Saccharomyces cerevisiae S288C: one gene and its partners. The protein of the gene in region 1 interacts with the protein of each later gene in a pairwise test. Each region holds a gene or a part of one and is shown in the gene's direction. Other genes may lie near its edges.

Region 1 (3,362 bases):
TTTTCATGATATCCGTATAATCAACGGATAGGATGTCTTTGACCCAGGTAGGTAGGAATTGAGAGGGAGCAAATATTTGAAAAGTGTTATACAAGAAGGTGAGTTCATCATCAGTGATCTGACGTACGGGTTTTCCGTTTACTGTCGGAATAATACCACCGAGATTCGAGTTTTGTAAAAATTTGATGTATGTTTTAACCCAATTTGGAAAATCATTAGGTGAGGTTAACATTGGTGGTGGTCTGACATATTTTTTAGTGGATGTCATATCAGAGTCCGCTGAGGATGAATCAGTAAATGTATTACCTGACTCAGGTGATGGAGTGCTCAGAGGCGTTCCAACTGATGATGGATACTGCGGAAACTGTGATTGTGGCCCAGGTGGAAAGTACATAGGCGACATTTGATAAGGTGTATACGGAATCATAGATGGGTGTCCGTAAAATGACCAACCAGATGGATTGGCTTGGTTTTGGGTCATCATGCACTGCTGTGGGTACGGCCCATTCTGTGGAGGTGGTACTGAAGCAGGTTGAGGAGAGGCATGATGGGGGTTCTCTGGAACAGCTGATGAAGCAGGTGTTGTTGTCTGTTGAGAGTTAGCCTTAGTGGAAGCCTTATCATATTCTTGAATTTTGGAAGCTGAAACGTCTAACGGATCTTGATTTGTGTGGACTTCCTTAGAAGTAACCGAAGCACAGGCGCTACCATGAGATATATGTGGGTAATTAGATAATTGTTGGGATTCCATTGTTGATAAAGGCTATAATATTAGGTATACAGAATATACTAGAAGTTCTCCTCGAGGATATAGGAATCCTCAAAATGGAATCTATATTTCTACATACTAATATTACGATTATTCCTCATTCCGTTTTATATGTTTATATTCATTGATCCTATTACATTATCAATCCTTGCGTTTCAGCTTCCTCTAACATCGATGACAGCTTCTCATAACTTATGTCATCATCTTAACACCGTATATGATAATATATTGATAATATAACTATTAGTTGATAGACGATAGTGGATTTTTATTCCAACAGAAGGTGATCTAAAGATTGAGAAACAGTCACCAGATTTAGGGGAAGCTGAAATGCAATGATTGATAATGTAATAAGAAGCGAGAGGGAAAGTATAAAAAGGAAGTGATCAATTTGTGAATAATTTGATAACCGTTGGGATTCTATTGTTCGCAAGGGCTTTATTTTATTATGTGTACAGAATATAATAAAATTTCCCCTGAGAGATATACCAATCCTCAAATTGGAATCGATACTCCTATATAATACAATTACAATTATTTCTCCCTCCCTTTCGTATGTTTCATTATCCTAGTACATTATCAATCCTTATATTTCTGCTTCCATTAAATTTTACGACTGTTTCTCAATGTTTAGATCATCTTCTTACACTGTATATGATAATGTACGAGTGGCATGAATACTACTGAACAGATGATATTTTATAGCTTCATTCCAACAGAAAGAACATAAAGTAATATCGTTACGTAAAACTATCGATTCCCTTTTGACGATTCCTACATCCTCGAGAAGAAGTTCTAGTATATTCTGTGTACCTAATATTGTAGGCTCTAACAACAATGGAATCCCAACAATTAATCATCTTGATTATTTTATTCCCCGCGTTTTAGAGCATCAATCTTGCCAGCTTATAGCTGGTCATTGTCGACGATAATCTCAAGCACAGGGCTAAAAAATAAATTGAAACGGACAGGAATTGAACCTGCAACCCTTCGATTGCAATCTTATTCCGTGGAATTTCCAAGATTTAATTGGAGTCGAAAGCTCTACCATTGAGCCACCGCTTCAACTTTTATTGTTTATATTGACACCTGTATAACAATATAACCACAATAAAAGGTTCATTCAAAGCTCCGGCTAGCATTCGGCGATTAATGAAGAAAGTTAAACCGTGATTTATTACTTCTTGCTCGTTTTTTCCATCATAAGTTCGCACAGAGCAGTATATATAGTGATTTGCAAATATGAATAGCGGTGGTAGTGATAGTTTCGATTATCTTCTTCAATTAACAAAAGCTTTAAGTGCAGAGTGTCGGGCTAACAGACAAGAGACCGATCGAATAGAACTATTGTTAAAGCGCCTTGCCAAACAGTCAGGAATATCTTATGATAATTTGAGCAAAAACATAATTCCAGATTCATGGAAAGATAATGCATCTCAAAAAGCATCTCCCCCCACTGAGGCACAGAAGCTTATCAGCGAAAATTTTAAACTCATATACGAGATTGAAAAACAAGAGTACTTCAATACAAAGGCTGTTGCGCTAATTAACAACATAAATGAGCATTTCTCATATATTAAAAATTTTATCGACGAACAGAATGCAATAAGAGAACGAAATATTGCCACATTTTCATCAGAGAAGCTTGATGAAAGGAACAAAAGTCTTCAACAAAATTACGAGTCATTGAAGACAGAAAATGAAGAAACAAAAAAAAAATTGCATTCAATTATCAAACAGTTTGAAAAACTTTTGAAGGAAGTGGATTGGGATCGTATATCTAAAGATTCCAGAGATTACAGCCGCTTTAAAAAACAGTTGGAATACCTGCAAGACACGTACCAGGTACTGAAATAGCCTACGATGGATCGAACAAAAGTGTAAGCAGACGTGAAATAGCAAACCTTTGAATGCATTTATATATTTTAATATACTTATAACAACGGATAAATGTTTAGATCCCTTTTGAAAAAAAAAAAAAATTAGGATGAACCGAAAAAAATCATACTCGTATTCCTCTATCGTCTTCACTGGCATTATTGTGTAAAGAATTATTACCAAATAACCACCTGAACCACCCCACAGTATCATTCTTTAAATCTTTAAAATAACGGCGGCTCAGCATCTTTAAACAAAGAGCTTCATAGGTGGGGTTGTTAGTGGTCATCAAATCATTTACGCATCTATCATATTCGTCTTTATCACTCTTGGGATCTATTGCAGAGCATATTCCAGTTTTACCCTGTCCCTGAAGAGAGCTTTTCAACCCAATTAATTTGGAATCAAACTGAGCAACACTACTTTCAATATCTCGTACACGAACTTCCAATATCCTCATATCATATTTCAACCTAGATGATAAGGAATTTAACTCTTGCATCTCATGGAGAAGAAGTTGTTGCTTATTGTCAATGTCTTCAAATCTCCCTTCAAACACTTTTGCACCATCTGAATACTTCTTATATAGTTCTTGCAGTCTTTTATATCTTTCGTTGAATTTAGAGTACTGACCAACAGTTCCCTCCTTATTTAATTTACCCATATAATGCTCATCCATTTCTTGTATGTGTTGCTGCGCTTGGATGTCGTATTT
Region 2 (3,618 bases), on another chromosome or scaffold:
ATAGCATAATGAAACATATAAAACGGAATGGGGAATAATCGTAATATTATTATGTAGAACTACCGATTCCATTTTGAGGATTCCTACATCCTCGAGGAGACTTCTAGCATATTCTGTGTACATAATATTATGGTCTTGATCAACAATGCAATCCCAACAGTTATCAAATTATTCAGAAAATTGATCACATTTTCGATAAATCTATTATGAAAGTAAAATTTTGACTCATACCTAAGTTCTCGTTATTCGTTAATCTTATGAACTCATTAACCTTGGCGTTTCAGCATCCGCTATGATTACTAGTGCTTAAACCTTGTTATTCATGCCTCATAATTGATGCCATCTTCTAACCTCGAGCGTGATAAAATTTTTGTAATATGAACACCAATCGGCGGAAGATCATCCCAAAGCCACATATGATGGTGCCTTATAACATTAATAACAACTTCAACTGCTGCATACCGATAATATCTTGACGATTATGCATTCGTGTCCTGATAGCTAATGCCATGAAACAATTCTTTTCAATCGCACTTGCACCTTCGTGAAATAGAAGGGTTATCTGGGCTTATCAGACTTGTCCACAGTTTACATATAATTTTTTTTCTGTATTAAATTTTGTGAGCTTTCTTTTTACTCAAACGAACTGTGTTATTTTTCGTTCATTAAATGCGTACCTTTAAGCATCATCAAGTATTGCTCTTCGGGAAAAATGAAGTAACCTTGTTAGGTTAATTTCACTAGTACTATACATATTTTATCCTGTATCATACCAGAGGATCATTCTAGCCACAATGGTCGATACGCATAAACTAGCAGACGACGTTCTTCAGCTATTGGATAACCGTATCGAAGATAATTATAGGGTTTGTGTTATCCTAGTCGGTTCTCCAGGCTCCGGTAAGTCTACTATTGCGGAAGAACTTTGTCAAATTATAAATGAAAAATATCACACATTTTTGTCAGAGCATCCAAATGTTATTGAGGTTAATGATAGGTTGAAACCTATGGTTAACCTAGTAGACTCTTTAAAGACGCTCCAGCCCAATAAAGTAGCTGAAATGATTGAAAATCAGGGGCTGTTTAAAGATCATGTTGAGGATGTTAATTTTCAACCAGTCAAGTACTCAGCCCTTACATCAAATAATGAAGAATGTACCGCAGTAGTTGCCAGAGGTGGTACTGCGAATGCCATAAGAATCGCAGCAGTTGATAATCCAGTCAATGTTAACAAGTTGGCCCAGGATAGTATCAATATAGCGCAAATAGTCCCAATGGATGGTTTTCACTTATCTCGCAGATGTCTAGACCTATTCAAAGACCCACAAACTGCCCATAAAAGAAGAGGTTCGCCCTCAACGTTTGACAGTAACAATTTCTTACAATTGTGTAAAATTCTAGCCAAGACGTCCCTATGTAAGGTCTCCTCACATCATAAATTTTACTCCACTTCAAGCGTTTTTGAGAAGTTATCCAAAACTTTTAGCCAAACAATTCCTGATATCTTTGTTCCAGGATTTAACCATGCACTAAAAGACCCAACTCCAGATCAGTACTGTATTTCCAAATTTACAAGGATAGTTATACTTGAAGGGTTATACCTACTGTATGACCAAGAAAACTGGAAGAAAATTTACAAAACATTAGCTGATACGGGAGCACTTCTTGTTTATAAGATTGACATAGACTATGAGGCCACCGAAGAAAGGGTGGCCAAAAGGCATTTGCAATCAGGGTTAGTCACGACTATTGCAGAAGGACGAGAGAAGTTTCGCAGCAATGATTTGTTGAATGGCAGGGATATAGATAATCATTTAATTAAGGTAGATAATATCGTCCATATCCGCAACGACTAGAAGGTTAGGCGGAACCTTGTATATATTTTTGTAAAATCGAACTGAATACAGATAATTAAGGCGCGCAAGCAAAAACGGCATTCTTTATGAACTCTGCAGAGGTGCCCTTTATTACGACATATATGGGAAGTAATACATATTGATTCTACAAGAAGTTCAAGCCAAGGTTTAGATATGAGTGACCAAATCAACGTTTTGTCAATGCAACAACAACAACAGCAGCAGCAGCAGCAGCAGCAAGTATATATGTCTCCTCAAGCAGAAAACTTGAATCATATGTACTTGTTAGTTAACAAGCTAGTGAAACAGTTGAGGGAAAATCAAGCAGAAAAGGCGAAAATACTAAGGAACATAGACATATTATCCGGAAGCTTAAACAAGTATGAGACATCTGAAGAACCTCACGATACCACGGAAAATATTGCATTATTTAATAGATTTCTAGAACAAAGAGGGAAAGCTCCTATTACTGAGAAAGAGCAACTAAGCAACAATCTGGATGAAAATGCGAAAGATGACGTTATGCTAGGAGTGTTGAAGCGCCAAAATTCAATGCTCCGGAAAAGTTTACAGGAATCCAAGCAGGTAACCCTTGAATCCATGGATTTATTGTCTTACTCCGAAGACTCTTTAAATTACATTGTCGCCCAATTAAGAGGAAACATTCTAATGCATCATAAAGAGACTATCAAATTGATTAGGCAGAAATTCCAGACGGAGACAATTCCCCTCGAAGATGAAGAGTTCAAGATGTATTTGGAAAATGTTAATGGTCTGCAAAAATTGACAGATATATCTCACACTTATAGATTACTACTGAGGTTACATGCACAAGATTGAAACTTTGCCCTTTTGCTTCCAATGAAAGCAAGATGACAAATATACATGCTTCTTATATTCGAGATTGCGCAAAAATTCGAAGCTCATTTATGAAGGCTTTTTCCATTCTGATATATGTTTATGAAATTGAAAAAGTAACGACGGTGGAACATTTTGCGGGAAAACAACTCACAGAATGTCTTGACGTTCTTTTCCTGCAGTTGCGTGCGTAAGATATCCTAAGCTACTGTATTATTTGCCAAAAATAATAAAATGTTGGAGGAAAGCCTCTATAAATACACAGGATATATATGTTTAATAAACATATATAATTTCCTCAATATTTGCAAAAGCATTTTGTTGTGATGAGAGTCGATTATCGTTTACCGATTAGTATCTATACTATTAATATATTTTCATATAATTAGTATAATCTCATATACGCTGCCAGAAGATAACATGAAAATTAAGAAACAATCATCAGCTTCAATGGAAGTTGAAGTGCAAGGATAAATAATACTATTTAGAAATATGGATTTTCCCTCGTTGACTAGAAGATCTGTGAAGATTGGGTGAATAGTTTAATAATTATTGGATCCCATTATTGATCAAGGCTATAATACTTGACTATTTGGCGAATTTTGAGATAATTGTTGGGATTCCATTGTTGATAAAGGCCATAATATTATGTATACAGGATATACTAGAAGTTCTCCTCGATGATATAGGAATCCTCGAAATGGAATCTATATTTCTACATACTAATATTACGATTATTCCTCATTCCGTTTTATATGTTTCATTATCCTATTGCATTATCAATCCTTGCACTTCAGCTTCCTCTAACTTCGATGACAGCTTCTCATAACTTATGTCATCATCTTTACACCGTATATGATAATATATTGATAATATAACTATTAGTTGATAGACGATAGTGGAT
Region 3 (4,105 bases), on another chromosome or scaffold:
TGGTCTCACCATTATTTGCACCTGCCAAACACCTTATCTTCGAAAGTTGCCATGACCACTAAAGAATTAATTGGTTTTATCATCTTCCACGTCCTTACTGCATTCTGTTACTTAATGAAACCCTACCACATGAACTACATTTTAATTTGGTCGTGTGTTGCTACATTTTTCTCTATGTTGGGTATGGTGATCTATTTAGCTAAACAGGCTCACGGTGTTGGAGAATTGTTTACCTCCACTAAATCCACTGCCACTGGCTCCACCAAAGCTTGGGCTTGGGTTTATATGATCTCGTACTGGTTCGGTTCCGTTTCTCCAGGTTCCACCAACCAAAGTGATTACTCGAGATTTGGTTCCTCCAATTGGGCTATCTGGGCCGGTACCATCTGTGCATTGTTAATTCCAACCACTTTAATCCCAGTTTTTGGTGTTATTGGTGCCTCCACCTGTGACAAACTATACGGTGAACAATATTGGATGCCTATGGATATCTTCAACCATTGGTTGACAACTAACTATTCTGCAGGTGCTCGTGCCGGTGCGTTCTTCTGTGGTCTTTCATTTGTCCTATCTCAAATGTCCTACACCATCTCCAACTGTGGGTTTGCCAGTGGTATGGATTTGGCCGGTTTATTACCCAAGTATGTCGACATCAAGAGGGGTGCCCTTTTTGCCGCATGTGTCTCCTGGGCTTGTTTGCCATGGAACTTCTACAACTCTTCTTCTACTTTCTTGACTGTCATGAGTTCTTTCGGTGTTGTCATGACTCCTATCATTTCTGTCATGATTTGCGATAACTTCTTGATCAGAAAAAGACAATACTCCATCACTAATGCCTTTATTCTCAAGGGTGAATACTATTTCACTAAGGGTGTTAACTGGAGAGCTATTGTTGCCTGGGTTTGTGGTATGACCCCCGGTCTACCTGGTATTGCTTGGGAAGTCAATAATGACTATTTCCACAACACTGGTATTGTCAATTTCTTTTACGGTGACTCCTTCTTCTCGTTTTTGATCTCCTTTTTCGTCTATTGGGGACTATGCCTCCTCTTCCCATTCAAAATTACTGTCAAACATGATGACAAAGATTATTATGGTGCCTTTACTGACGAAGAAGCAAGAAAGAAGGGCATGGTTCCATACAGTGAAATTTCTGAAGAAGAAATCCGCGCTTACACATTAGGCGAAGGTTACACTACCGGCCACGAGTACAGACCTGAAGGCTCCGACGATGAAATACCTGAGTTGGTCAAAACTAGCTCTGAAAACACCAATGAGTTTGAAATAGTTCATCATAAGAATAATGAAAAGCAATCCTCCACCGCCAGTGAAAAAGCTGCTTAGTGGGAAATAAAATTGCAAAAAATAATTAAGAATAAAATTTCCCTTTCATTTAATGGCTCTCTGCACTAATTTTTTTACCTACGAAATTTTCCTTCGTTCACACTTAATATTAAATAACAGCTCTTTCCTAATAATAACATATACACTAGATATATAATACCAAATAAATTAAAAAAAAAGAAAAACAAAAAATAACGTAGCTTTGTTACAGTCGTAAAAAAAAGAACAATAAACCAATCTTATTGCCAGCGTCTAACTAGTCCTATTATATTCCAATATATTAAGGGGTAAGGACTACTATTATTCGCCCTGAATTGAAATCTTTTAGAAAGCACCTGTTCTCTCTCTGGTGTTCTTTTTTTCTCATCTATTATCTAATTTCTTCAACCTTCGTTATTTGTTGTTATTCCGTAATCGTGGTGCTCAACTTTTGAAATTTCACTTGTTTACCATAACGGAACATAATTAAAAATTTGTTCTTGAAAGTCACAAGCACTACGTGAACACAAAATTAAGGCAAGAGTGACAAAGTAACCCTCACAAGGAGCCTGTCGTTGGTTATATTGGAAGCTATAGATATAATCGAATCCAATGACTGGTCCTGGACCTGAAATAAATAAGGAGGAGCACCCCAGTTCTCCGGGCAAGAAACAGATAACATATAATAGTATACCCAAGAATGCAAATCTAATTGATGGATCTACGAATTCATCGAAGAGGCCAATTGAAAAGTATGACAAGAGAATAGCCGACCCAACAAAAAGCTATTTTCCACATAGCATATCAAGAACACCAAGGAGAAAATATACTTACATTCTAGTCCTCACATCACTAAATGGAACTTTTGAGAGCAAACATGTGGTGATACCATTTAAACCAGATGGTTTGAAATTGGGAAGGCCTGTTGCTAATAGTAATAGCAGCTCCAGTTCATCGCTCAGGGGCGGTAAAAGAGTGGATTCACACACTTTTTCCCAAGTAAGGTCCGATAATGGTAATTTCGATTCAAGAGTACTCTCCAGGAATCATGCATTGTTAAGTTGCGACCCGCTCACGGGTAAGGTATATATACGAGACTTAAAATCCAGTAATGGTACGTTCATTAACGGTCAAAGAATTGGCTCAAATGACGTAGAAATCAAAGTTGGCGATGTGATAGACTTGGGAACAGATATAGATACGAAAATTGAGCATCGAAAAATAAGTGCCACAGTTGAAGAACTATTTGTACAACCTTTATTAGAATCACCGATTTTTGAAAATGAAGATAGTGATGATTGCCATACAATTACAGAAAAAGAGGAGGCTGCTGCCATAACAAGTCACATATATGGTGATTCCAACAACCTAGAATTGGAAGAAGTTATCCTGGGCTCTGATACAGAAATACTGAGTGGAATTTTTATTAATAATTGTATTGGTACGAGCCCGACTTTATCTAATATCATCAAAACCCTGGCAATGGAAATTCCATTTTCCAAATGCGATAATTTTAAATTACAGTCGATGGAGAATTTCTTAATTAATTATACGACACATCTAGAATACACGAACAAACTTTTAGTGGAAAAAAATGATCAGCAACTGGTAAAGCTGCAAAATGGATTAAGAAGGAAACTGTCGGGGAAATACGAAAAGATTATCGAACAAAACAGAAATCAAGTAAAACAGTTGGAAAGGGACCATATGTTTTTCAAAAAGTCATTTGAAGTGAAGAAAAGAAGAAATAATGAAAAGCAAAAAAGCATGGAAAGGGAAATAGAAGACTTGAAAACTAGGTTAGAAGTGGAACGATATAAGAATTCACAAATGATGAAGAAGAACAAACAGAAAGAACAAGAACTCTCAACTGCATCTAAAAAAAAGACTACCGAACATGACACTAGAGGCGTCCCGGGCATGAATCCTAAGGGTACTGACAAATTTAGCATCAAGAACACGCTATGTAATCATTTCACACTATTAACATTTGGAACTATTTCCATCGGGATTATAGCTATTGTCTTCAAGATCCTTTCCCCCAACTAGCATCGTAAATACAAGACACACACGATCCGCTTTTCACGTCAGAGATTATTATATACGTACGTATATATGTAATAGATATTCACATGTAAAAAAAGGTAAGCATCCTTTCATTTAAGAAAGTATGGGGGGAGTCATCCGTCTCACGGATTCTTTTTCAAAATATTGACGTCGTCAATTTGCATTCTTTCCAAAGTTTTTATTCCTAGCAGCTTTGTCATTTCTTTGACAAAACTAATTGCTACACTTTGCACATTTACAACAGCATCGGGTCGTTGTTCCATAATTGAAGTAGTCAGTGTATTTTTCAAACCGCACATTTCAAAACTATTCATATACGATAGATCTGTATTAACATTAATTGCTACCCCGTGCGATGTTATGGAACGTCTGACGTGTATTCCAACACTAGCAACTTTCTTCTTGCCATTTTCAACCCAAACTCCAGTGTCCTTTGTAGTCATAGCATCTAAGTTCAAAGGCTTGTCAGTGTCGTCGCACATCTTGGTATTCTTCAACGTTCTGATAGTGGCCTGCTCAATGCATGAAACCAAGCATTTAGCAGGGAAACTTTGAAATGTTTTCAAATCTAAAATAATGTAAATAACAATTTGGCCTGGACCATGAAATGTTACTTGTCCACCCCTTTCCACTTGAACAAACTTTGGTCGTGGGTTGTCCTTTTGCGTTTCTGGAATGAAACTTTCATAAGCCGCTATCTGATCTGGCGTCATAG
Region 4 (5,487 bases), on another chromosome or scaffold:
AAGCGCCACAAAATCGATGAGAAGTATAAAAAAAAAAAAGTAAAAACAATAAAAATAAGAATGTGTACCTCGATAGATAACTTAAATAAGACAATTTCAGAACCACAATATTGATAACACCATCCCGATTTTTGAAATTATTTTTTTGGTGTAAATGAGAGAGGAGGGGAGTGAATTAGAAATGGAAAAAGGCTTCCTTAAATGGAAACCAGTCAACTTGATGAAGAAAATATTGTCTTTACCAATGAAAAAAACTAAAAACGATATAGGTTTGAGATTAGATATATCATATATTTTAGTTAATCTAATAGTCTGCTCATACCCGGTAAACACGTATCCAAAACTGCTTTATAGGAATAGCTTGGATGACTTAATATTGTTTCTAACAGTGTACCATGGCAAGGGAAATTTTAGAATTTTTAATTTTAGAGGTGAGAAAGAAGACAGCGATTATAAAGATAATGATCTTATTGGTATCGCTGCCAAGTTTGAGAGCAAAGATTTTGAAATTCAAGAATTACGTTCGACGCTGATTAATGATGGAAAGATACCAATATCACCCATTGATCTCGAAACAAGGACCTTGGTCGAAGAAGAAACCAATAATGTAATTTGTGAAAGGATCGGTTGGCTAGATCATTTTCCACCGCCATTTGAACTGCTGGAAGAGATTGTAGATGGTATAGAAAATTACCTGTCCGTTTCGAAGAATAGAGTGGCTGTTTTACATTGTCGAATGGGGAAAGGCCGATCTGGTATGATAACAGTAGCATACCTCATGAAATACTTGCAGTGTCCTCTTGGAGAAGCAAGATTGATATTCATGCAGGCTAGATTCAAGTATGGTATGACGAATGGCGTCACCATACCCTCTCAATTAAGATACTTAAGGTACCATGAGTTTTTTATTACCCATGAAAAAGCAGCCCAAGAAGGAATTTCTAATGAGGCGGTAAAATTCAAATTTAAATTCAGGCTTGCTAAAATGACGTTCCTCCGCCCATCAAGCTTAATCACTTCCGAGTCTGCTATTGTAACTACTAAGATTCAACACTACAACGATGATAGAAATGCCCTCCTAACCCGAAAAGTAGTATATTCAGATATCATGGCGCATGAATGCGGTGGTAATATGACCTTCATTTTTGGTAGGGACTACTTAACACTGGAAAATGATTGTCGTATAGAATTTACCCTGGGGACCAGCAAGTCCAAAGCCGCCAGTAGCATAATATCTTGGACTTCATGCGCCAGCTGTTGGCTGAATATATACCTTGAGACTTTGATGCACATAATTAAAGACGATTCTTCGCCAGATTACTTTCAAGTAGAGAGGTTAAAGAGAGACGAAATGCTTGGGACAACCATAAGCTGGCAAGAGCTGGACGGTTTTGGGGAGCTCAGCACTCACGGCTTGAAATTATTTCAGGCACTGAAATTGGAATGGGAAATTATATAGGTTTATGCATTTCGTCAAATCCATTCATTCGTTAAACTTAGTTAAAAGTGTTATATTTATTGTGAATTGGTTTGTTTTGGTAGGCTTTTTTCTATATTATGTATTCTTTTCCTTTTCTTCAATATTCTTGTATGGTACTTTAATTTACTGGCAGGTATTTTTTGGAGCGGTCAATTATATGAATCAAAACGCCATTCTAGAAACAGGAAGAAATATATGAGAACCAAGGAGTAGGTTGAAAGGCATTGTAGAGAAATTTTATTAGTATTTATAGCCGAAGAAGAAGGTTAAGTGACAAATTTTCATTTATAAGCCTCGCTAAAATGAATGCTAGTGGAAGATCTCATTCCAAAGGCCCCATTATAAGGTCTGTGTCTTTAGAAGATCTTAAGAGAAACTCTAGTTTCAAAGGCAATCTAAAGTACAAAGATGAAGTCACTTCACATAAAGAACCACAGGTCGGAACATTGAGCAACGAAGAACTGCTAAAAGATTTGGACAACATGTTGCGCGGTAAACTGAACATGGGAAGAAACAGTTTTCATGCCGATAAAAGAAATAAATCAGATGGAAATATCAGTGCCTTAACCTTCAAGGCAAGATCAGGTCTTGAGGGAGATATTCGTACCATAGATATACAGCAAGATAGTAGTGATGAAAATGATAATTTTAAGTTCAGTGATGATGGCGTTAATAAGGATAGAAATAATGAGAAAGATAATAATACTGATAACGCCGTTGAATTTCAAGACGATGCTGAAGAAGCTGAAGAGGAGAATGAGGATGAATCATTTGCTAATGTAGATGAACTGGATGGCTTTGATTTGAATAAGGTTTCTGATGGCAAGCATGTTCCTATCAATGAAAAGGGCGAAGTTGATTATAATATGCCGGTAGATAAAGAATTTCAGAAATCACTTGACCAGTGCGCAGCTTCACTTGAGGAAAGATCAAGTGCACCTTATGCTTTACAAAGAGCAGTGGACTGGGAATTGAAGATGTTTTATTCTTTGGAAGATGAACTGTCGGAATGGTTTTGCAGCTCTGATTATATGCATTTTGGACAGACACAGACTCTGTTTAAACAGAAAATTACGCAACCACAATTATTCTTTGATGATGAAAACTATGCTGCGAGCGTAGTTGAATGTTTAATTGAAGACATCCCCAATTCTTTAGCATCTAATTTACTCGCATTATCATATATTTCTATGGGATGCTTTGCGTTTACGAATAGCAAAAGTGAGCATACAAAGATTATACGACGCAACAATTTAATGCTTGTTCCTCATATTCAAGAAATTGTTCATGCCTTCAAGAAGATTGCAATAAGTTGTAGGGATGACAACAGAAATTTAAAGAAACAAACAATTTTGCTATTTCATTCGTCAACAATCCTATACTTCATATGCAGTATTTGTATAGAAGGTAGAGGAGAAAATCCGGAAGCAGTAAATGTTGTTATCGACGCTTTTGAGAAAACAGATTTGTTGGAATTTTTAACAAAGTATATTGAAAATTGGAGGTGGAATAGCAGATTAGCTATGCGCATAAGAAATATGATTTCTTTGCTCTTCAAGCTTATTGTATTACAATTTGGTGACAGTTCTGTCTACAAACAGACCAAATCATCTATTTATAATCTCCATGGCTTAACATATCCATCAAAGCATCCAGAAAAGCTTTCTATCTCCCCATTACATTATCAAGCATTCAGGGAGGACATTACTTCCCGTTTTCCTGATTACAATATGCCCAGTTCTGGCTTACCTAAAGATGTTGACAAATCAGAATCTCTTTCCCAGTTTCTGGAAATTCCTCGTCCAAAATCAAAGAATCCTCTAAATATGGCGCTCATTGTTCCTGAAAAACATATTGCTACACCTGCTCCTTCACCGCCAAGCTCTCCACAATTAATGCATTTAGGTGAAGGTCCTAGACCTCGTAAATCTTTCCAAACAAACATGGCATATCCGTGTTTGTATCCATCTGATAATGAAGGATCTGAAGATGACACTCTGGAAGATAGGATAGATTTAAATATAGAGAGAAAACCTGATAACGATATAGTTATTCCATTCAGTACCGAAGAGGCAGCGAGAATATTAAGCGAGAGTTTAGAAATTAAGCTGAGTACAAAACAACTTTGGTACGAAAGGGACTTATTCATGATAACTGAACGTGGTTGGAAACAGCAATTAGAAAATGAGCCATATGATTATGCCGCGCTTAATCATGATGCAAACTCTTCAAAAGAGGAAAAAAGTGCGATTTGCATTATGCAGCGAATTGACAAATATTATAAGAGCTGCCTTTCGAGCTTTAACTCTCTTGTTTTTGTCTTACTGCAAACAATGGAATCAAGCTTGACAAATAACTTTCATAGGAAAAGTGAAGTCTCCGATAAAAATCTTCTAAATATGCTGACACCCCAATTGGAGATCGTGAGAGCTAAGGAATTGTCCCTAAAGTCAGCAGCGGGCATATTACATGCGTTATTGAAGTGGTTTAAGTTAAGCCATATTTTGAAATTTGAACACTTGGCGGTAGTTATTCACGATTCGCGATACATCAACACATGCGCATCTATTTTAAGCAAATATTCTGAGGTTTATCCAGAGAGGGTTTTCAATAAATATGTACAAACCCCGAATTCATTTTGGAAGGAGTGTTCTCTCTCTAACGAGTCTTATCGTGAATCCTATTCAGTAGATGACTCAGGAGAGGTCGACACGGAGATTATGCCTTCGTTTGCATATCTGTTAAGAATCTTGAGAAAAGTCACAGGGAATAAAACACAAAGGTTAAAGGAGCTGCCCCTCTCCATCGGCATTCTATTTAAACGCTATTATCGGCTCTTCAACCTTGACATGTATCATCCAATATTGAAAATAACAAGAGAACTCACACCATTCAAAAACAAGAGGTGGAAATCCGAGCATATGGAATTGATATCGGGGGTTTACCTTTATGAAAAGCTGGAGTTAACTGATAATTGGGTAACAGGGAAGGATATATCAGGAGAGTTGAGCGATGCTTGTGGTCAAGAAATTGCACTCCGGGCCTTGCTTCAATTTTACAATTTTCAACACTATGAAATATCTATGGAGGACCTTGGATATGGACACCGTAATAGTTCCAGCCAAGATCTGTTAAACAAGGAATCCGAGTATTTGAATATTTAAATCTCTACTTACGGATACCGAGGCTCGGGGCGCGATGTTATTGTCATTAACAATCTCCTATCCCTCCCTATGTTTATATAGTTTTCAATGGAGGAGCATGAAAACCCCTTAAATAGTGTTTATTTGATCGCGCAATGGTGATGATTGGATCTTCATATCACAAGTGGGATACTAGGACAACCGTTGTTGGATTTCTATTATCATAATATATACGGGTAACGATTTTTGATGCGTCGCGTTTGTAAACAAAACTAAACAAAACAAACAAATATACTCATTTGATGGCTTCATCTGCATATAAGAAATAGAAGAGCCAGAATACTAAGCATAACCATAATATATATTACAGTCTATTTCAGTTGTAGCTGAAAAATCAATATGGAACTAGAGCCCACTCTTTTTGGTATAATAGAGGCATTGGCTCCTCAATTATTGTCGCAGAGTCATTTGCAGACATTTGTATCTGATGTAGTCAATTTACTGCGATCATCCACCAAATCGGCAACTCAATTAGGCCCTTTAATTGATTTTTACAAATTACAATCACTAGATTCGCCTGAAACAACAATTATGTGGCATAAAATTGAGAAATTTCTCGATGCTTTATTTGGAATCCAGAACACCGATGATATGGTAAAGTACCTCTCTGTCTTTCAATCTTTGCTTCCATCAAATTACAGAGCAAAAATTGTCCAAAAATCATCTGGGCTCAATATGGAGAACCTTGCTAACCATGAACATTTACTTAGCCCAGTGCGGGCTCCAAGTATATATACAGAAGCTTCATTTGAAAACATGGACCGATTTTCTGAAAGAAGGTCCATGGTATCTTCGCCTAATCGT

What was found.
Region 2: the proteins of FAR3 (region 1) and FAR7 interact in binary tests that used the Saccharomyces cerevisiae proteins (3 or more experiments, as listed by UniProt).
Region 3: the proteins of FAR3 (region 1) and FAR10 interact in a two-hybrid assay, tested with the Saccharomyces cerevisiae proteins (2 studies listed by BioGRID).
Region 4: the proteins of FAR3 (region 1) and FAR11 interact in binary tests that used the Saccharomyces cerevisiae proteins (3 or more experiments, as listed by UniProt).

Annotation. Positions count from the first base shown.
Region 1 is NC_001145.3:377,575-380,936, forward strand, and holds FAR3 (Far3p), read left to right. Parts: upstream 1-2,011; coding exon 2,012-2,626; downstream 2,627-3,362. Other genes in the region: YMR051C (gag protein), read right to left, coding at 1-751; STB2 (Stb2p), read right to left, coding at 2,772-3,362. UniProt on the Saccharomyces cerevisiae protein: Participates in the control of the reentry into the cell cycle following pheromone treatment.
Region 2 is NC_001138.5:158,505-162,122, forward strand, and holds FAR7 (Far7p), read left to right. Parts: upstream 1-2,030; coding exon 2,031-2,696; downstream 2,697-3,618. Other genes in the region: YFH7 (Yfh7p), read left to right, coding at 795-1,856. UniProt on the Saccharomyces cerevisiae protein: Participates in the control of the reentry into the cell cycle following pheromone treatment.
Region 3 is NC_001144.5:612,820-616,924, forward strand, and holds FAR10 (Far10p), read left to right. Parts: upstream 1-1,935; coding exon 1,936-3,372; downstream 3,373-4,105. Other genes in the region: thiamine transporter THI7, read left to right, coding at 1-1,344; lipoyl(octanoyl) transferase LIP2, read right to left, coding at 3,513-4,105.
Region 4 is NC_001146.8:382,205-387,691, forward strand, and holds FAR11 (Far11p), read left to right. Parts: upstream 1-1,782; coding exon 1,783-4,644; downstream 4,645-5,487. Other genes in the region: TEP1 (putative phosphatidylinositol-3,4,5-trisphosphate 3-phosphatase), read left to right, coding at 155-1,459; SPC98 (Spc98p), read left to right, coding at 5,023-5,487. UniProt on the Saccharomyces cerevisiae protein: Participates in the control of the reentry into the cell cycle following pheromone treatment.